Lytechinus pictus: one gene and its partners. The protein of the gene in region 2 interacts with the protein of the main gene of each other region in a pairwise test. Links are inferred from orthologs where the notes say so. Each region holds a gene or a part of one and is shown on either strand. Other genes may lie near its edges.

Region 1 (7,630 bases), on a different chromosome or scaffold from region 2:
TAATTCTTCTCTTGGCATTGGTGAGGTCAGCCTTAGGTCAACATGAGGCAGTCTTAAATTTAGTATCCAAGTCATACATGTATGTTTAGGGGTATGATGTCTATTGCTTGTCAACTTAAGTCTTTTTTTTGTGACATTCTTGATAAGAAAAGAAACTATTCATTTGTTTACTTTCTTAAGAAAAAATGACAGATTCCTTGCTTTCCATGGCCATAGTATCAAGTCATATTTCAATTATTCTTAGACAGATTTCTACTTTACTGCAGAAAACAGTATGACATTGCTCTGCAGTTAAATTTCAGTAAATATTGAATCGAATTGAGGTGAATTAAATTTGTTCTGAAACTGTCAAATATTTATAGTCAATTTGCTCTGTCAAGAAATCAATTTATTATTTTGACATATAACCTCATTTAGGGTACATGAACATTTCTTTATGAATTGATACTTATAATCTCTTGATTATCCATAAACTCTTTTCTTGTATTCTTGGCCATGGCCTGCAAGGCAGTCATAATTCCAGTTTCTATTTGCCATTATGGAGATGCAATATTAAAAGATAGTACAGTGAGTTGATTGTAAGTGTATTGGAGAAGAAGAATATATATATTTTTGATGGAGATATGAGAAAGTTTCTGTAAGAGAGAGAAAAGAAGTAAATCTCTCAAATTATGTGTTAACCCTAAATAGACTGGGCTATTTTGATGCCTAAGAAGACTGGGGGGGGCTGATTCAGCCCCCCCCCCCTATGATCTCGGCCGTCGACCGCGCGATCGGGACGAAAATTGGCACGTGCGTTACCCATGGCATAATCTCCAAGACTGTATGATCAAATTTTCTGAAAAATCTCAATTCATTAATTATGCTAATTTATGCGTAAAATAAAAGATTTGCTCTAATTAATTAAATAAGGCCTCTAATCTGCTAATTTTTTATTCACCGACTCTTTGTAGGATTCTGATCAAGTGTACGCTTAAAAAAATTCAATGTCACAATTCTTTTCTTATGTATTTTATTGTTTTTAAAATTTCTTATGTATTTCATTGTTTTTCCACTTTTTGTTTTTTATTGCTTTTTCAATGGAAATCGTCCGCTACTTTATTCTGACCATAAACAAGATGAAATTAATTGAGTTTGATTAGTAAAATTGAAAATAATGATACATTTATGAATTTTGGCTAAAAACACAATTTGCATTGGATTTGTACACAAATTCACGTTTTTGAGCAATTTCGGATCGACATGCACTTACAAAATGTTGCGTAATTTCGGAACCACGTACCCAGGCGTCGCAAATTTGGTCTCAAAAGTTGCGCAAGACTTGAAAGAAAAAAGTCATGGAATGGCGCGGCGCCAGCTTTTTGCGTTACAGATTTATTGCGAAAAATGTGGAGGGGGGGCTGAATCAGCCCCCCCCCCCCCCAGTCTTTTTAGGGTTAAAGTAGCCTACTGTGCAAACCCTTCACTCAGGTTTAATAAGGGTCTGAATATCGAGCCCACAATGGCTTGTGTACTGAAGGCCCTGAAATTGAAACAGCAAGTTTTATATGTGCTAGTCTTGTGTGAATACCCACTTGTTGACAAAGTTCAATCAGGGTTTGTGTCAAATTAGTATTACAGAGATTATTACCGAAGTAAGAGTGTATTACTAAAGTCTGAGAGTGTATTACTAAAGACTTATTTCAACACATTTTTCGGCCATAGAAAAAACCTTTTCCATGTAGGAATGGGTTATTTTAGTTGATTTTCAGACTATATATCAATTCTCATATGGCACCATAGGTTGCAACAATGTGTGTTAATGCTTATAGCTGCTTGGGCAACAAATCATTGTGGGGTTTTTAGGAAGGTTTGTTTTGCAAGAGATGTGTTTGGAATTGGATTCAAGATACATGGATACCATAGCACTGTGTCTGAAGGGATAGACTAGTCTTCCTGTCTTCACTAACCAATCCTTTTAAAAGATTTAGGGAAATCTATTGGCCTTTTAAATCATTTAATCTCCATTTCTTTACAGGATATATTATATTGCCATTATTTCTCTGTAAATCCGTCAATAAGGTGGAAAGGTATTACGATGCCTTCAGATTCTTCTTTGAAAATGAGGACCAAATTCTGAATTATCATTGGGAGTTGCATAAATCAAGAAGCTAGAATTTTATGAATTAAATGATTCAATTGTTTATTGTTCAATTTATTATTTTATTGTTCAATTATTTGATTATTTTTTTATCATTATCATGATCATTTGTATATTTGATTATTACTTTATTATTCAAATTTATTATTTTTTATTTTTTTGTTAATATCATTATTATTCTTATTGTTTTATTATTATCATTGTTATTGCCATTGTTAATAAATGTAATTTTCTCGTTATTGATTTATGTATTCTTCATTGATTGATTGATTTAAATATTTTTTTTGGGGGGGATCTTAGTTGCTATCTTTCAAATGGACAATCACTTATTACCACTTGAATTTTTGTTTTACATTTCCTTTAATATCGACCCGTTACTTCAGCAATTGAGTTGGATGTCATGTTCACCTGCTTAATGATATGGCTTTATTATCTGTGTTCTGATTTTTTTTCTCATGATTTATTTTTTTGTATATTTTTTTTTGTTCAGGAGAAAAATGCAATTTACAAACAGGCAGTTGCCAGGTATTTAGAAATCATACCTGATGAATAACGCACCTTCACCTGTGATATTTTCTTATTGTTATTGTTACTTTTATTTCCAATTGTTTGGAAATATATATTACAGTGTATGCTGGAGATTATAAACAGAAAAATAAAAACAATTTTAAAACATGTAAATGTATATGTTTGAGGAAAGCTTCCTTATTTCATGTTTTGTTTTGATTTTACCTTTTTAATTGAAAAATTGTTCCATGACATCTGCTTCAGCGACAATTACTCTGCTCTAAATTCCACACTTCAACCCTGGGTTCAAAACTATACCTACCCTACCCTAAATCTAACATCAATCCTATAGATTGATAATAATATAGGGTATTTATATTGCGCACATATCCACCTTGTTAGGTGCTCAAGGCGCTCCTATATTACCCGGCTAAGCTAGGCGTTCATAGCGCACACAGCTTTTTAAGGAATTACTTCCTACCGGTACCCATTTACCTCACCTGGGTTGAGTGCAGCACATTGTGGATTACTGACAGCACAAATGCATTGTGGATTACTGACGTGATGACGTCACAAAAACTTCTTTTTTGCATTTCAGCCTTTAGATACCATATTCTGGTATAGCATGATGAAAAACCCCCACTTCCAAAATTTGGTGGAAATTGGTCCATAGGGTCCCAAGATATGACTTCATGAATACAAATAATTAGCCCCATTGAAGTCAATGTATTATTGGCCTGGGCTGGTTCCTAACATTTAGAACAGGCCAATTAACATTGACTTCAATGGGGCTAATTATGTATTCATTAGGTCATCCTGGGGCTCCATAGACCGATTCTCACCTAATTTTGGTTGGGTTTCTCATCATGCTCTACCAAAATATGGTATCAAAAACGCTGAAATGCAAAAAAAGTGAAAACTGATGACGACACACTTTGATACTTTATTGGAACCCGAACCGTACGCCTATTGTATTGAACAAAATTAAGCCCGGAGCAATTGTCGCAGGAGCAAATGTCGTGTCACCGAAAAATGAGCAGGTGATATGTCTGATTGTAAGGTCTCAGTCTACATCCCAGGAAACAATTACACAGTGCATGGCTCAGGCAAATTTACCCCTGAAACGCCCCTAAGAGCCCTGCTCAATGTGTCATACTCCTCTCCCTCTCAGAACACTAATTATTGCAAATATATAACTGAATAATGAAAGTCGATGCATTTTCACCAATGATAATTTATTCACAAAATTTTCAATGGCCATCCCCCATCCTTCCTCAGTGTTTGAACGATAACTAAATCACATTTTTTGTTATTAAGACCATTAACTATCCTGTTTGATAATTAAGTTTTAAAGAAGTAATGTTAAAGAATTTTGTTTAAACTTGTAACATTGATTCAATTATTGCAAAAAATGTGAATGAAGATGAAAAATATATGATCTCTATTAGTATTCCCTCTGATGTGATGGATAAGCCCCTTTGCAGTTGTAGTTGAGATAAAATGTTTTTAATCACTCTCAGGGGCAGTGGAACAGGGTTTTTTTTTTTGGGGGGGGGGGGGCTAGCTGACAAAAAAAAACTAACACAGCCCCCTTCCCTGATTCCATGGCCCCTTTCACTGACATACACATTTGTGATTTTGATGATTTTTCATTATTCCTTTTTTTAATATTCTTTTCATCACATCCACTGAACAGTAACAGAGGGTTCAAATCATTAATCATCCCTGGATAATAATTTGGTATTTGGCAGTAGCCCAAATAATCATGAGCCAAAATAAAAGTGCACAATATACGACAAACGGTTTCCAAAGCAAGTTGATCACTGATGTACTATTCTAGACGCCTGGCCGACGACACGTCTTTCTTTATTAGGATTTCGGGACGGGAAAGCTGGTTAAAAATAGTGTTCATCCAGAAAAAAGGGGAAATGTCATTTGAGAAAAGTTGGTCATGAGTATATTCGGAGAGCCGGCCCTCTACGCTGATTAAACTACATGTCATGTCATCTCGGTAAAAATGGCAGATAAGAAAGGAAAAACGGGCAATGCCAAGAAAATGTCACATGAACAAATTGTGTCAGGCTTCAACCAGTTACGGCAGGAACAGAGAGCACTCGTTACCAAGATTGCAGAACTAGAGTCAGATCAAAATGAACACAGGTAATTCTACACATGTCCGAGGGATATTATTTGTGAAAGTGCCATGACGGGGATTGGGAATCGAACGACCGCGACCGTGCCCCCGAACATGCCGAAGCAGCCGGGGTGACAGGCAGCTTATCCCCGCTTCGCGGTTAGCATGTCCATGCCAGCCATGGCCATGCCAATGTCAATGGCAATGCCATGCCCATGGGCATGGGGTGGCTATATGCCTATGGCATTCAGACATTGGTATGGTGCACGGACACGGTGGGGAAAGAGTTCCATTAGAGTTCGGTATATGCACCCCACTATTTTTATTTTTTGATAATCTCCTGTAGGTAGGGACAACGGTACATTCGGTATTTGCTCTATCAAAATCCCTACATACCATTGCGAGTGCGTCGAGCGCGTCCGTTGATCCTACGAAGCCCCAATAATGCATCCCTCTTGACTGATAATTTCACCCTAAATTGAGTTATTTCAGGTAGCTATGATATATTTGGCATTAAAAGGATCGGTAATTATTTGTCAGTAATTATTTAGTATTCTATATTTTCGAATGGCTTACCTCTACTTGTTCTTTGAATGGGAAAATATCGTACTTTGTCCTTGTATTCCCCATGAACTGCAGAGTTTGTGTGTGTATAAAGTCAATGGGGAAATTAAAAGTTTTGCACACGCGACCCGTCACCATGACGTCACTAGCATTGCGTGTGAGCGAGCTAAGTTTGATTTGGGGGCGGCGCCCTCCAAAATTTGACCAATAAAAATTCTGCATTTGCTGCATCTTTTGGGATTTTCCCTAAATTTATGTCTCAGGGACCGTCTTGGAAGTGCGTGCTGAGCTGTATAATCTTTTTGAAGGACCCACCCTATTCTACTTAAAGATATTCAATTAAAACATCTTGGGGCCCGTTTTGGGACTTTTCATTCTTAAAAAAGATGGTTTTGAGACGAAGTCTTATATCTAGATTAATTTAAGAAAAAAAAATTGTGAATTTATTGTTAAATTTTAAAATGCAAAGCAAAAACCTCCATATGACGTGTACGTGACGTAATTATCGTCATGAAGTTGAAGATCGCGCGAAGTGGTGGGAGGGGCCTATCGCGAACGTAGACCATGTATTAGTCTTGATTCAGGCAATTTTTATGATTTGTAAAGTTCGTTGAAACTCTGTAACGTTGTGAACGGATATCATCCAAATAAAATAAATGAAAATAATTTTAAAATGTGAAAGGATGAAGGCTAGCACAATCTTTCTCTTAGGAACATTCAGCCCCCCCCCCCTCCTCAGTTACAAATGTTAATCACGTGTAATCGCCGTGATACAAGGAGAGATGTTTTGGAAGGTCATGTGTGTGTGAGATATTGCACATGGCATAATGGCGGCATATACGTGTGATACAGGGAATTCTGTACAAGGATGTTTACACTTGTGTGTGAGAAGGTCTGTGACCGAGATGGTGGCATGGGAATAATGGAGTTAGAGTGGATTAAAAAACTACGTGTGTAAAGCATGGACCTGCACGTTGCAACTGTACATTCGCTCTGGGGGCTAAATGCCGGGGCTAAATTAAAATAGGGGAATCCCCGGTGTGTATAGCTTGATTAGTAATCAATTGTTAAGGCCTACTAAAGTATATTTTGTTTATTAAAAAATCTAAGAAATCAATGTTTTAATTTGCAATGTTTACGCACAATATATGTATATATGCCCTCTCACAATCACACACATTTAAGATTTTATTTTTAACAGTAACATACTGATTGTTGTAAAATTAGGATACAAAAATTACTCAACGAGATGTCAGTTATTTTTTTATTTTCTAATGTATAGGCGGAGGGGGGGGGGTGGGTTCCCTCGGTCCTGCGCCCTCGCTCTTAGCAAAAATAAATAAATGGATATTAAAAAAAAAAATCCTAATTGGAGAAAATTTTCCCCAAAACGTACGTATCTCCTATCTCCTGAATTACAATAATAATTTCTGCCAATACCTGCAAAGAATCCGTTTACACCCCCCCCCAAAAAAAAAACCCTGAAAATTGGAGGCCATTTATATGATTGAGCGGAGAGTTGGAAAAAAATGTTTTCGGTGAGAGACCCCCCCCCCCCCCCCCCCCGCTGACTTTTACATCCGTAATCTGCTTTTTTATGGGAACATTTTTCTAACACTTCGTCTATCATGCCCTGTCATGAGTGAAAATATAGTTCAAACAGGGATATACAATATCCCTGGTTCAAACATGGACCTTTTAAAGCGTTGACAAAAAGTGACAAAAAAGTCACGCTATTATGGGGCTTTTATACCAATGTAACCCGATATACATGTAAATAAATTAGGTATCCAATGCGACTGTCAAATTGAATTTACATCTGATTTCAAGGGATCGATGTGCCATAGGCCTATATTGATTTTTTTTTCACGGGGAGGGGGCCTACATAGCTCGTTTACATTTCTCGATTTGACTCCTTTTTCCGCCATGAGTCTCAACTTCCTACATGGGATATTCAGGGAGGATCGATGGGGTGGCCCTTAATTACCCCTTCTATATAGCTATCCCAGTAGGGGTCAGGGGTTGGATTCTGAATTAGGGTGGGGGTAAGGGTATCATCATGTAACAACGATCAGACGAGAATACTCACTTGTTAATTATTATATGAAAAGAGTTGCCCCCTCCTTCGGTGTCCCTGGTCGGTGCCGGTGAGTTTTCCAAAAGAAAAATATTCTGAAGTTTGCTATGGGGAACTCTTCGTCAATTTTGAGATATGACATTATTTCACTTATTTCACAAGTCATAATCATGAACATAATACAAACAAATATTACATCAGAAGAATT
Region 2 (7,815 bases):
ACTTGATTACTCTTATGTCCAAGTTTCATGAATCAGATCCATAAACTTTCAAAGTTATGATGGTAATTCAACAGATACCCCCAATTCGGCCAAAGTTCATTGACCCTAAATGACCTTTGACCTTGGTCATGTGACGTGAAACTCATGCAGGATATTCAGTGATACTTGATTACCCTTATGTCCAAGTTTCATGAACTAGGTCCATACATTTTCTAAGTTATGAGGACATTTCAAAAACTTAACCTTAGGTTAAGATTTTGATGTTGATTCCCCTAACATGGTCTAAGTTCATTGATCCTAAATGACCTTCGACCTTGGTTATGTGACATGAATCTCAGGCAGGATGTTCAGTAATACTTGATTAACCTTATGGCCAAGTTTCATGAGCTAGGTCCATATACTTTCTAAGTTATGCTGTCATTTCAAAAACTTAACCTTAGGTTAAGATTTGATGTTGACGCCGCCGCCGTCGGAAAAGCGGCGCCTAGTCTCACACTGCTATGCAGGTGAGACAAAAATTGTTGGCTAATCTTGAAAAGGCTCTGCTGTGGTAAAGGATACTGACTTCAGTGGTGGTGTACTGGTCCCTGAGGAAGTCCAGGTCCTTGTCAACCTGAGTCTGGCTCTCTGTTGCTGCTTTCAGGTTCTTGGAGAGGAGAGCCTCGGCATCGGACAGTTCGTACTCCAGCATCACATTAGCCTGAAGGAGAGAAGGAGGGGCATGCACACGTATGCAGATTATACCAATTTAGGTCTTTAGTACATTGCACTGTTAAGAGCGCCCCAAGAAAATCACTACAAGATCACCACATTACCTTGAGCACCAGCAACACCTGACACAGTACAATCCTCTCCAGGACAGCATATAAGTTGCTTTTGGGGAGACTAAGTTATGTAAAAAGTTCACTTATTCTTCTGTTAAGTGCTGTCCCCATTGCAAGAGACTACATTTGCAAAGACAAGTGTAGTCAAACTTGGGTCATTCTTGCTATTCATGGTTACAGGAAAAATTACAGAGAACATTTGATCAGAGTGGAAACCCCTTAGCAAAAATGTTACATCACTCATTTCTTTTCCCCGTCACATTGCAGAAACTCTCTAAGGCTTGCCAAGAAGCATTCGCCAATGGAGTAGAGACATTTTTTGCACTGCAGCAACAAGCAAAGATTTGGAGTCGAGGGTCTTTCCCTCTGATGTGATGCACAGCAAGATGTTGCTACAGGCGTTTCTACCAGGCCTCTCCACTCATCCTAAAGCTTCACTAGTTGGTTTGCAATCAAAATTGAAAAATAACATAAGCTCTTAAATGAATAAATTCATATTCCTCCTAGAGTATTTCACAATGAGTTAGATATAAATTAAATCTGTTTTATCATGCTTAAATGCCTATGCGTACTCGGTATTCAACACATAACCTCATTGATGACTACAAGGTATTGCGTGACTGCAACTGAACATGATATGACCAATGCACTGATGCATGTGTTATACACCGCATGCAAGTGGGAAATACAGTTTGCTTTTGAGTAAAAACTTAAATCTTTGAAAAAACACCCTATTGAACTACAAACTGATACTGGTGGTGAACCCTGACTTACCCCTAGCCACAGACAAACTTTCTTGGTAGGAAGAATAGTAGCCTTGGCATATACTTGGTCTGATAAAAGAAACTGTGTCTTTAACTCATCTTCAGAACCCTAGGAGGACAAAATGAAATGGAACAATTTCGTGGCAGCATAACTGAGATATGAAATATATTTACATCAATCAACTGCAGAATTATTACAGAATAATTTGTTACAAGTAACATAACATTTTAAAGAGAGCGTGTAACATTAAATAATGAAAATTCTTTAAATAAGTTAGATAAAAAAAACAATGAAAACAAGTTTGATGCTAAACACTGAATACATAACATCGATCATGCATGCTCTTCATCTTTCAAAAAGGATTTCTTTTAATACAAAGTAAAAAAAAAGTGCTATATAATGTATACATCATGTAATGTACAAGAGTTTCTTTTTTGTTTAAAAGAAATTTGTTTTATATGGTAATTGAAATTAATGAAGGTTATATTTACCTGTTTACTTTGTAAATGTTTGACAATGTCTAAAGTTGTTCTAATATCAGGAATCTGGCCCTTTAATCTGTGATCAGAGATAGTAAATGATTAAAATATCTTATTCAAGAAAAAGAAATTAAAAATTAATCATTCAATACCATATTCCTTGGAATTTAAGTATAGATTCACTCAAGATGGCTTCTTGAGCAACCAGAGAAGTTCTATTCTTTTAATCACTTTTATGCAACCAATCGAAAATAAAGAAATTTAAAGTGGGTGTCAGAAATCAGTCAATACTTTTGCATAAATACGTTTCTTTCTTTTTTCTCAATTATTATCGTGATTTCAGGTGGCTTCATACATCTACTTGTCATTCATAAATTTCATATATGCAGCCATTAAAAAAAAAGGTCAATGGACTCCTGAAATCTATGGTAATGAAAAATTCATCAACAAGCCAACAATTAAAATATGGGATTATTAATTATACCACTGTATGTACAGAAAATAAGAGACAAACGCACCTTCTCTTTTTCTGCAATAAATTCATTTCCATGAATTTATACTTCTGATGCTGTTCTTCTAATCTCTTCAACACAATCTCAGCAGACTCATTCTGGGGTTTCTGCATAAAACTGTCTACATCTTCCTGTAAATCAAATTGAAAATATGGAGGAAAACAATTCGTATTTTCTCAACGTCTTAATTTTTTATTTTCATCTTATCTTTATTTGTTTTCTAGGGTCTTATTCATTTTTTTGTACTTTCTCAAGTCTCAAACTCTATCTTTCTTCAGATTTTATTAGCATGCAGCAAAGAAATTACTAAATTTTAAAATCCGGAGACCTCTGCAATAGCTCAAGATCTATAAAATGTGGGATGAACAAAGTTTTCTAAGACCATTTTTAAAACCTTGCAGGCTTAATTGTCTTGAATAGTAATGAGCCAAAGATCAGGGCACAGCAACATTGTGCTGTGAAATAGTGGCAAGGGCAGATTGCCAGACAGACAACTGAAACTAAAGTGTTTTGTTTGTCTCGCTGAGCAAGTTATCAGCCCATTGACATAGAGTACCAAGGTGTGACGTCAGTTGCCACTTGCCATGGTGCAATGGCGGGCTGGTTCTAAACAGAGTCGCAGCAGATGGTCGTCTGTACACATCTTGGCTCATCTGAAAAATAGGGTGCAAGCGATCATTCTGATAGCAGCCATTTTCTCCTGTGTAAAAACACATGCTTTCATTCCGGGTTCATTTGTTTAGAACCAAGCCGCCATGACACCATGGCAACTGATGTCATGGCTTCGGTACTCTATTGTGCAACTGCTTTCCATGTCCACAAGATATAACTTTTAAAAAAGCCAAGCCCAAGAATAAGATTGTGCTGGTCACTGCCATCATCATCAGCACATTCTTCTTTCTTTCAATTCCCAAAGTTTGATTTTTAAAACATTTGCCGATTTTTAAAAACATGTTGTAAATGAGGAATGATTCTGATCTTATCATATTTTTTTCAAGTTCAGACAAATATTAAAATCTGTCGGCACAGGAAATGAGTTATCAGTTAGTTTTCCAATTCCAATTTCCAGGCCTGCACTCCTGCAGTAGGGATCCCAAAACGAAAATCTATTTTTTTTAATCTATGTTTAAAAGCATTGAAAAGTACCTCACCTGAATCAGCATACATGTATTCAAAAACCCCAAGTGAATGACTTTTAGTGTTCCAAAGAGATCTAAATATCTGTTAATCTGAGGCTAAAGTTGGTCCGAATTGTGACAGATTTGTGTACAAATTTAATTTTGAAATTTCGTCGACACATATTCACAGAGCTCGGCACTGAACGAGGGATTGTGGGCGTGTCCTTTCTCGCCTCGGCGTATTGTTACGTAAATACACAACTCGAACGAAAGTGCGTTCACCGTCCCAGTTAGTCTCGGATCCGAGCTTATCCAAATAAACAATGATTAAATAACAACAAAAAATAGAAAGAAGAGAAAAGAGAAAATAAATGGCTCAAATGCAGTCGTTTGGTGACGGATAGTATGCTGTGACCTCTTGCTGATATAAGGATTAGATATGACAAGTTTTATGCCATGATAACTAAAGCATGGGGGGCGGGGGCACTCTGACTTTCAAAATAATTAATTCTTTAAACATCTATATCTAGGCAAGGGAGGGTCCAGGATTTTCCAAAGGGGGGGGGGCACTATTAGCGGCGGCAGTCAAAAAATTTAGGGGGGCACCAAAATCTTTGACAAAAAAAGGTTATCAAAGGGGGGGGACCGAAAAAAAAATTAGCAAAAAAAGGGTAACAACGTCCCCCCATAGGCAGCGGGGGGGGGGGGGGGGGGGGTCGTGTCCCCCCTAAATTTGAGGTGGGGGGACAATCGCCCCCCCCCCTAATTTTTTTGTTGATAACCTTTTTTTTTGCTTGACAATTTTTTTTCCTGCGTGCCCCCTAAATTCCAGTGGACCCCCCCCCCCTAAAAATTTCAAGTGGTCTCCCCTAAAATTTGGGTTGATAAACTTTTTTTTTGGTGGGGGGCCTATGGAGGGCATATTTTCCCGATGCAAATTTGATAAGCATTACAAAATGTTTTTACAAAAAATTCAAAGTCATTTCGTCCCTAAAAATTTACAAGCAAAAAAATTGGGCCTATATATATATATATATATATCCTCACTTTCAAGGGGGCATGCTTGGGTAAAAAGGGCATGCTAATGTTACAAATTACAATTTTGGCTCTCGATAATTATGCCCCTTGGATCCACCAGTAATCTAAGGGGAATTTTTTGTTTTTAGTTTTGATATGGCTACCTTCTCGGAGGGCGTCCTCGCCGCGGTAGCTGGATAGTGCTGCAAAAGAGTAGGCCTTATACATCTTTTGCAGCATTAACTGACACTCCGAGACTTATAATTTAACCTTATACTTAAAAATGAATAATACAAAATAAAACATAACACTTGTTTTTAGAGAAAGTTGATGTCAAAATATATTCAGTCTGGGGCATGAAGACTTGGAACTCTGCCCCATATCATTGTACTTGCCTCGCTCGATTTGTATCATAATTTTTTTTTTATGTTTCCACAATAAAATATAGATCTAAGTACAATGGCCAGAAATAATAGTACGAATAAACTAGCAGAATTTGTATCATATCACCCATATTATTGAACGCCAATAAAGGCAGTCTCTAAAACTTGTTTGCTTTATCCCACTTTTCCACTAAGATCTATCCCTTTTGCGTGTCATATAAAAGCAATTTTGTGCGCAGATCTAGCGTAACGGTGGGACCACATGCAGTCATTAATAGGTCTCTTTAATTTTTTTTCAACATATGATGTCTCATGCTTTCTTTAAAATTAATAAATTAGAATCCTTGTATATGGCCCTGAGAAGTGGGGTGCTCGGGTTGTTACCCCCAAGATTTATTTTTTTTGGGCTGGTGGTGCGTTTTTTGTACACGTACGGCAGGGGGAGTGGAGCGAAGTTGGGGGAACAGAAAAGGGGCACTTTTTAGTGCTTTTAGAAGTGGGGCATTGAGCCCGCGCCTATCCCCTGGATCGCCGCCCCTGCACCAGAGGCAGCACCCCCTGGAAATCAGTTTAGTATGATATTCGACCAAAATCAACTTATCTTTAGAGAGATAATCTCTTTCTTTTGGCTTTTTTTTCAAAGCCAGCAACCCCTCTTTAAAAGATTTCTTTTCGGGCAATCCTCATGATTATCTCAAAAATTTGAACATTTTTTCTTCAAAGCATCTTTATAGTGACGGATGGTATAATCATATTACTAGCAGTGGCGGTATGGCCAACCCCCCCCCCCTCCCAGTTTTTTTTTTTCAAGTAGTTTAAAACAGGAAGAAGAATTACATAGATTTTTGTACCGAATTATTTTCATTAATGATTTTATTGGTAAAAATACAAAAAAAAAAAAAAAAAAAAAAAAAAATCAATTTTTCATGTTTAACCCCACTTTCAAAACTATTCCTCGGTTCCTGGAAGAATGGAGAGATGGATGGAAGGAGAGAAATAAATAGGATGAAGGGTGGATCCAGCTTTCGCCAAGGGGGGGGGGTTTCTTTCACCCATATTTTTCCCCAATCGGCCGCGCAAAGATGATTTATGTTTGTTTCTTTGAATAAAATGTCACTTCTTAGCTTTTGTCTTATAAATCAACATAAATATATAATATCATAACTCTTTTTTATATAATGCGAGCGCAAAGCGCGAGCTAATTTATCATTAAAAAATATGTGTTTTTTCCCCAAAGTTTGAAATTTCTGGGCAATGTTTATCATGAAAAAGATGTGTATGCAACTAAATAATTACTAAGAACGCGAAGCGCGAGCAGAATTGAAATAATAGGCACTTTTTGTAACTTAAACAGGATAGGTATATAACTTAGCAATTGATGCGAAGTGCGAGCACAAAATTGGAAGATTTAGACCTAAAAACAAGACATGTCTATTCATGTATTTTAAATCATGCATGGAAAGGATATCAAATTTCCGATCTTTGTTAAAGCGCGAGCATAAGATTTTTGTTTACGTTTTCAACTGATCAAAAAGGTACCTGTTAAGGACTGCTTATTTCACTTAGCCATGGGGAGACGTTACATATTTCAACAATAAAATCATGCAAGCGCGAGCCGATTTTTTTGGGGGGACACTTCTACATAAAGAATGGAAAATTTAAATCAATTGTAACCATGAACAGGATCGTCGCTATAAAACAATTAATGCGAGCGCGAAGAGCGAGCGGAAAAAAAAATCGAGATTTAGACCTAAAAATGGGACACTCTATTCATGTTTTATATATCATGAAAAGGATGAGATAAGAAAGAAGTAGTAGTGCATGGGCGTTATCGCCAATAGGGGGGGGGGTGCCAATTCGTCTACGGCAAACTCGTCCACTCACTACATGGTCTATTTTCATTAAGTCTAATGCCAATCTGTCCATCAACATTTCGTCTAACAGCCATTGGTCCATTAACCATTTGGTCCAATCATCACTTCTTCTAATAACCATCTCGTCTATGACCATTTAGTCACATAACCGGTTGGTCTAATAGCCATTTTATTTTCATAACATTTATAGTCCAATTAGATGAAATGGTATATGGACCAAATGGCTTTTGGGTCCACTGGTCATTAGACGAAATGGCATTATACTAAATGAAAAAAAGACTATGTGGTGAGTTGACGAACTGATGGACCAAACGATAGTAGACGAGTTGGCAATTAAACAAATTAGAAATAAACCGGGGAAGGGGCCGAAAAATATTTGCTCTGCTCAAAGTTAATAGGGGTAGTCCTAACAGTCACTTCTTTATTCTCATTAAACAGCATACACAAAACACAATATATAATAATCTTATAGCCCCTATAGTGCGAGTGAGAAGCGCGAGCTAAAATATCTTTGAAATTTCATGTTTTTTATCCTCAAAATTGAACATTCTGGGCAATGTTTGTGAACTTGAACAATATGCGTATTTTAATAAAATTTCTGCGAGCGCGAAGGAGGAGCAAAAAAAGAAAGAAAAGAGAGAAATATACATTCTGGTCTGATCGAAGAGGGGCTTGCTATAATGGCGGTTTACAGTTCAATCAAAATAATGCGAGCGCAAAGCGAGCTAAAAATGTTTGAAATTCTGACCATAAAAATGGACATTCCAAGCACTTTGTGTATGAACAGAACAGAATAGGGCCTAAGTAATATTTTAGGTACAAAGTGGTAGCACGAAGCGTGAG
Region 3 (7,076 bases), on a different chromosome or scaffold from region 2:
GTTTCAGGTTGATCCATCCAATGGTTTTCTTTTGGTTATCGCGAAAGTAAAATTTGGATAGACGGACAACCCGAAAACAAAACACCTCCAGCACAGCCCAAAATGGGCGGAGGCATAAATAAATAACCCCACATGATCTTTGACAGATTTCAGCACAATGGAATTCTCTACCGATGGCTTTACAAAATATTACCCAGCTTGAGCAATTCAAAGTACAATTAAAGACCCAACTCTTTCAGAATGTTTAACTAAGTTAGGTTCAATCTATGTTTTAATATTCTTTGATGTTTATAATATAGAAAGTGGAGGATGTGCACACATTGTGTGCAGGAATGACTGATTGAATCCGATGACCGGGGTAGACACGTCGTTCCGATTAAGCGCCATATAAAAGCGGATTATTATTATTATTAATTATTATTATTTGATATTTGATTTTAAATCTACAATTCTAACCATATTTCCTGCTTTCCTCACACGCAGAGAACTGTAGGTGTTATGCGTCTATTAAGAACTGTACTATTATTATTATTATTTCTATTTTCAGCTCACCTTCATTATCAGAATTTAATTTGCCTATGCTTTCTGATGATTCCATAAACCGAGACTGGGCCATCTTGAGCTGCTGCAAGGAACCCTGCATCATCTCCACCTCCTGCAATAGAAAGAGAGACAAATATAAATTTCTCTTTTTCTCTTTAAGGGTGCCAAGTCATGAATTGAATCTTACCAATTGCAGTGCAGTGAGTGCACCATTTCATAAAAGTTGCTATGATAAAAAGTCTTGCTGGAATGTCAACTACCATGACAACATTGAAAGTTTTGCTTTTTGATTGACTCTTCCAATGAAAGGTGATATTCCAGCACGAGTTGCTATCATAAGCCACTTTTTTATGAAATGAGGCCCAGTGGGTGTTTCACAAATATTTGAGTGTGACTAGAAGTCACACTCAAATTCATAGTTGAATGCTGTATAAAACACATTGTTAGACAAATCTGCTCAGAGGAATTGCACTACTGCACATTAATCAAGGAGATTGAGTGTAAAATATCAATTGTTCCTCGACACTAAGCAAGTCAAGCTTAAGTCTTGTAAGACACCTTTCCCCCCCTGGAATGACAACAGTGCTTTTAAAAACCAATCCAGGGCCATCAACTGTCATGGTCAGGGATCACGTTGATACCCTGTTGACTGGCTATGATGACCCTCTCATTGGCCCTTTCTCCTCTGAAACATCTTCTATAAAATGTGGCCTTGCTCTACAGAGCATCTCAAAAAATTACACACTGCTGATGTCAACATGACGGTTAAAATGGAGCACTAAAAATGCAATTCATGTTCACTCATGCATTAATTTCAATTTAATAATTCATGAAATTTACTCAAACAACCAAAACTGATCATGATTGATCATTAATTTACCACAACACCCTCAACTTTGCGAGTTCCAAAGGAATCGCCTACCAATAACCACTCACACGTATTGCGAGGTTAGTATTAGTATACTAACCTCGCACCACGAACCGCGTTTGGCAGTGGATTTCTAACTAGTGGGTCGCGCGTGCTGGGATCTCACTTCTTGGGTCCACAACACACGACTTCTATGGCTTGATTTTTCTGTGCGCGGTGACATGTAATGAACCCTTGGGTGACCAATAACTGGCCTCAGTCAAGTACGACTATACTCTGTAAAGAGGACTGTAATAAACGGAAGAAGAAGAAATTGGAAGGCTAATTCCAGCCAAGCCTAATTTTCTTGCCCTTTATTTAAGTGGGCATTGGTCACTCAAGCATGAATAGATTTGCTACTTTTTGGTGTCATTTGAAAGTTGACATTATTTGCTTTCCATCTAGAGCTCTATAAAACTTTTCCCCCAAAGTGATATATTTTTATGTGGCAGCCATTTCAAAAATTTCAGACGCACTGTATATACCTGTTACAAGATTACTTCAAACTGGTAAAATCAAATGATTTAATTCAGTGTGGATCCCCCCTTTTCGACGATGATCTTTAAGACAGTCAATTAGACTTTAATCTCTGCGATGAGGGCACCCAATTCCATTGTGGTGGCAAAATAAATATGCCCACAAGTTTTGGTCAAAGGGTATGTATGGTAAGCACAAATAAGGAAAGGATTTCACAATAGCAATGCGTAAATTAATAGGATCAAGGGCATTGAGGCACCGCCACCGGGAAGAGCCCAGCACACACACAGTGTCACAGCCACAGGACACAGGGCCCCGGCGAGCTATGAATAGTTACCGAAAGCATGATTTGACCAATAAATTCATGTTTATCAGACATTAGTTCATTTAGTTTTAAGCTGTTCAAATATTCTCCCCCCCCCCAACAAATGCTTTCACCACTCAGTCATATTCATAGCAAACCACGCACAATCAATGTGTCATCAACGGTGATTTAACTCCTGTATAATTCCAATTAATCTATCACAAAATTGTGAATATCCCTATTGAATATGTGTGTATTAGAATTGCATGCGTCAGTTATCGCATTGGCCTTTTTGCGAGTAAGTGCTTGTTCAAGTCAGTAAAAAAAAATTGAAAGTTTACCTGATCTAACTGTTCTTTAAGACCATTTAGCTGTGGAATCGGAAGCTGCATTAGGTCCACTTGCTGTCCTCCTTCAGACATGGTTACTTCTTTGATCGCAACTCGTAAAAAAAACTGTAACACTAAGTCAGTACCAAAGTGACTGAAACTGAAAGTGAAACTGTGACTACACTCCCAACTCAACTTCAAAGTTGCAATCCGCGCACGAGTCGTGAGAGATGTCTAACTACGAAAGCCGGACAAACTAAACGCACAAATATGGCAGAAAACAGTGCTAAATCCGAAACTGTGAAGTCCAGAAAGGAGCGTAGAATGCAGTAAGTAACAACATATTTTAAGTATTTTTCCAAGCCTCAGTCATCATCAAGTCAAGGCATTTTGACACAGCATCATCACCGATCATGATTTTTCCAAAAAATAATCCAGGCACCACATATTGAATTTTGTGTAAGTAAGGACATGTAAAAATTGTAATTTAATTTAACATAATGCAAGCAATGCCAATGCAATGGCAATGTTGATGGTGTTTCCTGCATTGCATAGTTTACGTATATTCAAAAAGCATTATTAATATGTTTAAAAATGGGAATATTTTAGTTGTTGTAATGTTAGTGTAACGTTTTTCCATTCTTCCTCAAGTTTTCAACTTCAAGAAATAATGAAATGTCATGTCGCACTATATAAGCTTTTGACTCCGTGCCTCACCAGCGGCTCATGAATAAACTTGAGTCATATGGTATTACAGGTTGTATCAAGACCTGGAAACACGACTGCATAAGTAATTGCATTTTTCCAGTAGATCCAGTAATAAAGGTAATAATCCTGGCCGTAGTCGTAGACAGTTTTGCACCAGCCGACTTTGAGAGAATTTCCCCACCATATTAAGTTAACATTAAAAGTCAGATCTAATAATTTGCAAATTAGCAAGTCTCTCAATCACACCTAATGTACCTAGCGCTTTTAAGAATATCGCGATCGGGAACGTCTGTATTTCGGTTAGATCTCGACGAGGTCATTGTCAAATTCTCATTCAGACATCACTTTGCTTGAATTGGTTTCACGGTAGTTTTTTTATGGAATGAAATTAGCGTCCAGAAGATCAGCCTGCGGCCGCTCACCTGTTTGTTCACAGCATAATGGCATAATTTTGGTCACTAACTTCAGACCATATAAATATAATAGGGGAATCCCACTCCAAGCGAAGCGATGTCTTGACTGAGAATTTGACGTCGAGATCGAAGCCGAAATACAGCTGTTCCCGATCACGATAATCAGAAAAGTGGTGGGTTTATTGACCTTGAAATGTGATTGAGAGACTTGCTATGACATGTGCGAACAATCTGATTGGGAAATCCTTGTGAAGTCAGCCGGTGCGAAACTGCATTAGCATTGGCCATTCCGACTCCTGAAGCTAGTCAACACTTTTGTTTTGGTAGATATTTTTTGTAAAATTCAAGTCAGTTAACTATTAGGCCTACCCTTTTTTAATACATCTATACAGATTACAGTTCATTGTGTGATTTAACTGAATTGATTTTGTAAAGTTTCCTAAATAAAAATACTTTTTTTAAATTGAAGATGGTGGAGTGAGCATCAGCCACAGCAGAATGAACAAGATAAACAAGGTGATTCCACAGGCAAGTCATAATTTGATGATTCATATTAATTCAATACCCTTATTTTAATACCCCCCCCCCACCCCTTCCCATACTGATGAAGAAATGTATACGTAAGTAAAATGGAAACTTGAGCAGAGACTGGTCTTTAAAAAAATTTGAAAGTGAAGCCAGTTATATTTTTCTTTTGGCAGGTACCAGTATTTTGAGCCCTAAAACTGGTGAACTTATGAAAATTTTATATGATTTGTCTGCTTAATGTTTTGTTTGCATTAATAGGAAATACCGAATTATGATTTTACCATGCCATCAGGTTTTTATAACATTTTATCCAATATTTGTCAGTTTATAGTGTAATTAATTAATTTGAAATAATGTATTTCACCCTTAGGATCAAGTTCAGCAGCTGTGAAGCCTCCAGTAAAAACAGAGAGTGTGGATGCCCTGGAAACCCAGGGGAAGAAGTCAGGAAAGACCTCAGGAAAAACCTCAACCAAGAAGTTTTATGTGCTCTTTGTTGGTCAGATTCCATACAGTGCTACAACAGAGGATATAACCAAACACTTCTCTAAAGCTGGTAAGAAAGCATCGTTGTAGCGGAGTCGTCTAAGGTGCCTGACTACACCATTGCAGTCCGGAGTATGATTCCCGGCACGGCCGCAAAAAAGACATGTTATCTCTAATGCTGTTTTATCTTGCATCAAATAAATGATAATGCAATGTGTTAGTAATACCAGCATGTGCACTTAAAAGGAAAAAGATTGGACATTGCCTGAAAAGCTCAATTGAAGGGTTTGGAGGGGGGGGGGGGGGTAGTTAGTTAGATATTTTTTTGAGTTCTTGTAGTGTGTCCCATTGAAGTAATGTCTGAATGATGTAATAATTGAATTTTTAGTAAAGGAGGATATTCAAAATCATAGCAATATAGAATTTGGATTACATGGCTGGCTTAAATAATGTTTCATATTTGTCATTTTCACACGGCAGGTGAATTGAAGTCTGTGAGGTTAGCAACACACAAAGACACTGGTAAATCTAGAGGATTTGGCTACATTGAATTTAAAAACAACAAATCATACATGGTGAGTTGAATATCTATTCCCTTGATAACAATGAATATCAGTTCTACTGTGGGGTACATTATTTCACGACATGTTTTATGTCATTCAATTCATTTAAAGCTCAGTTCGAGTTCTGGTTTAGAATTATTGATGGAAAATGGTTGGAAACAATCCTTAAGTGTTTATCGTATGCCAGAATGCTTATTTACAACAACATTTTTAACAATTCTAGCTTGCTTGAAATGAATTCATTACCACATGCGTTTCATGGTGTAGCTAACACAGGAAACAACATTTGAGACCACACTGTATATAAACAGCATTTTTCAATATTTTTGTGATCTTCCTTTGCTCATTACTCTGTAATTATATGTTTTCCTGAAAAAATGTTCGGCAGATATCATTTGTTTATTTTTGTATAATTCTGTTTAAGTTTTGTTCAAATTCTGTGAACACTTTATTTTCTGTTGTTACCAGTATCAGAGTTTATGAAACACAGTATCAACGTTCTTTTAATATTCCATTTATTCTTTTGAAGTGGTCTGGCGAGAATATATTACGTTAAATCTCTGTTTGCATTTCCCAATTTTCATTGGTTTCAGGTTGTTTATTCTGGGAGATACAAAACTATCCAAAGATGAATTAACCTTGATATGATCTGAAAAAAATATTGTCACATTGGTATGCTACATAAATTTTTTTGTCTGCTTTTCAGAGTGCGTTAGCAATGCATTTGAGTAAACTTCACGGGAGACCCATCAACGTTGAGATCACCTCTCCAGGACGTGGTACCAGTCTCTTCAGGAAGGAAAACCTGAAGCGTAAGAACGAGGAGATGGCTCGTTTTCGTGGACTCAAGGAAGGAGACGCTGCAGGTGGCGCTATGTGCATACCATCGTCCAAACCACACCCTGGTAACAAGAAACAGAAGTTCAATAAAGGCAAGAGGTGACCTTTGAAACGGTGTCGTCATGGACAATAGACTCTATTTGGAAGAATCATTGTGGAGTTACGACCTGAGCTGTCATGGCTTAAGCTGCATGGTCATGAAAATGATATTGGAATTATCTGCACATTGAAACTTCAATGAATAGCCAATATTGGCTATTGCTTCAGGAAATATTTTAAAGAATGGGGAATATTAATGTTTCAGACATAAAATTGAAGTAAAGCAACATGGCGTAGAACAAAGACATTATAAAAAAAGGCTCTGACCCATTTCTAGATGAAACCATATTGTGCAAATTTTTTAGAGATTTAAAAATCAAATGATTCTTTCAGGAAAATAACTATTAGAATACTAATGTCAACATCAGAATTAATGGCAAGCAGTTAATATACAGTGATGGCCGAATATGCGGGAAACCAGTGTGTTGGCTCAGTTGGTAGAGCGTCTGTCTCACAACCAGGAGGTCGGGAATTTAAATCCCGGTCGCGTCAGACCAAAAGATGTTTAAGTATGTGCTGCTACCCTGTTTGCCGTTTAATGATTAAAGGGATAGAGCCTCATCGATATGGCTGCACAGCAGCTGCCGGGCTCATGATTAATTGGGCAAAGCAAATTTTCAGAGTATTTCATTTCATGTCTATTTAAAAAAATAAAAATTGGGATGGATTTTTTTTTTAAGCGTAGTGAATGGTTCAATTATTTTTATGTTCTAAAATGAATTTGCTTTAATACATGTGAAGAGGAATAAAATATTAAAAATCATCAATTAAGTTTTAATACGACCATTCAGAACTTTGGACAGGAGTTTGCTCCGTATTTTTATCTTCTCATCAATTGATATGTTTAATTCCAAATTTGGATTGTTGACCAATCATAAG

Evidence for each region. The genes of interacting proteins can lie anywhere in the genome.
Region 1: the proteins of prefoldin subunit 3-like (region 2) and prefoldin subunit 2-like interact in binary tests that used the Drosophila melanogaster proteins (3 or more experiments, as listed by UniProt). The link is inferred for Lytechinus pictus from reciprocal best matches to the Drosophila melanogaster genes mgr and Pfdn2.
Region 3: the proteins of prefoldin subunit 3-like (region 2) and prefoldin subunit 5-like interact in binary tests that used the Drosophila melanogaster proteins (3 or more experiments, as listed by UniProt). The link is inferred for Lytechinus pictus from reciprocal best matches to the Drosophila melanogaster genes mgr and Pfdn5.

What each region holds. Positions count from the first base shown.
Region 1 is NC_087252.1:13,651,358-13,658,987, reverse strand, and holds the start of prefoldin subunit 2-like, read left to right. Parts: upstream 1-4,625; 5' UTR 4,626-4,664; coding exon 4,665-4,807; intron 4,808-7,630. UniProt on the Drosophila melanogaster protein: Binds specifically to cytosolic chaperonin (c-CPN) and transfers target proteins to it. Binds to nascent polypeptide chain and promotes folding in an environment in which there are many competing pathways for nonnative proteins.
Region 2 is NC_087248.1:15,691,610-15,699,424, reverse strand, and holds the start of prefoldin subunit 3-like, read right to left. Parts: upstream 3,006-7,815; 5' UTR 2,694-3,005; coding exon 2,587-2,693; intron 2,148-2,586; coding exon 2,081-2,147; intron 1,698-2,080; coding exon 1,599-1,697; intron 701-1,598; coding exon 562-700; intron 1-561. UniProt on the Drosophila melanogaster protein: Binds specifically to cytosolic chaperonin (c-CPN) and transfers target proteins to it. Binds to nascent polypeptide chain and promotes folding in an environment in which there are many competing pathways for nonnative proteins.
Region 3 is NC_087247.1:32,562,500-32,569,575, forward strand, and holds the start of prefoldin subunit 5-like, read right to left. Parts: upstream 3,006-7,076; 5' UTR 2,890-3,005; coding exon of another isoform or gene 2,831-2,889; 5' UTR 2,654-2,830; coding exon 2,573-2,653; exon of another isoform or gene 2,208-2,572; intron 656-2,207; coding exon 553-655; intron 1-552. Other genes in the region: uncharacterized protein LOC129257427, read left to right, coding at 2,831-2,889, 4,151-4,209, 4,580-4,765, 5,176-5,270, 5,965-6,201. UniProt on the Drosophila melanogaster protein: Binds specifically to cytosolic chaperonin (c-CPN) and transfers target proteins to it. Binds to nascent polypeptide chain and promotes folding in an environment in which there are many competing pathways for nonnative proteins.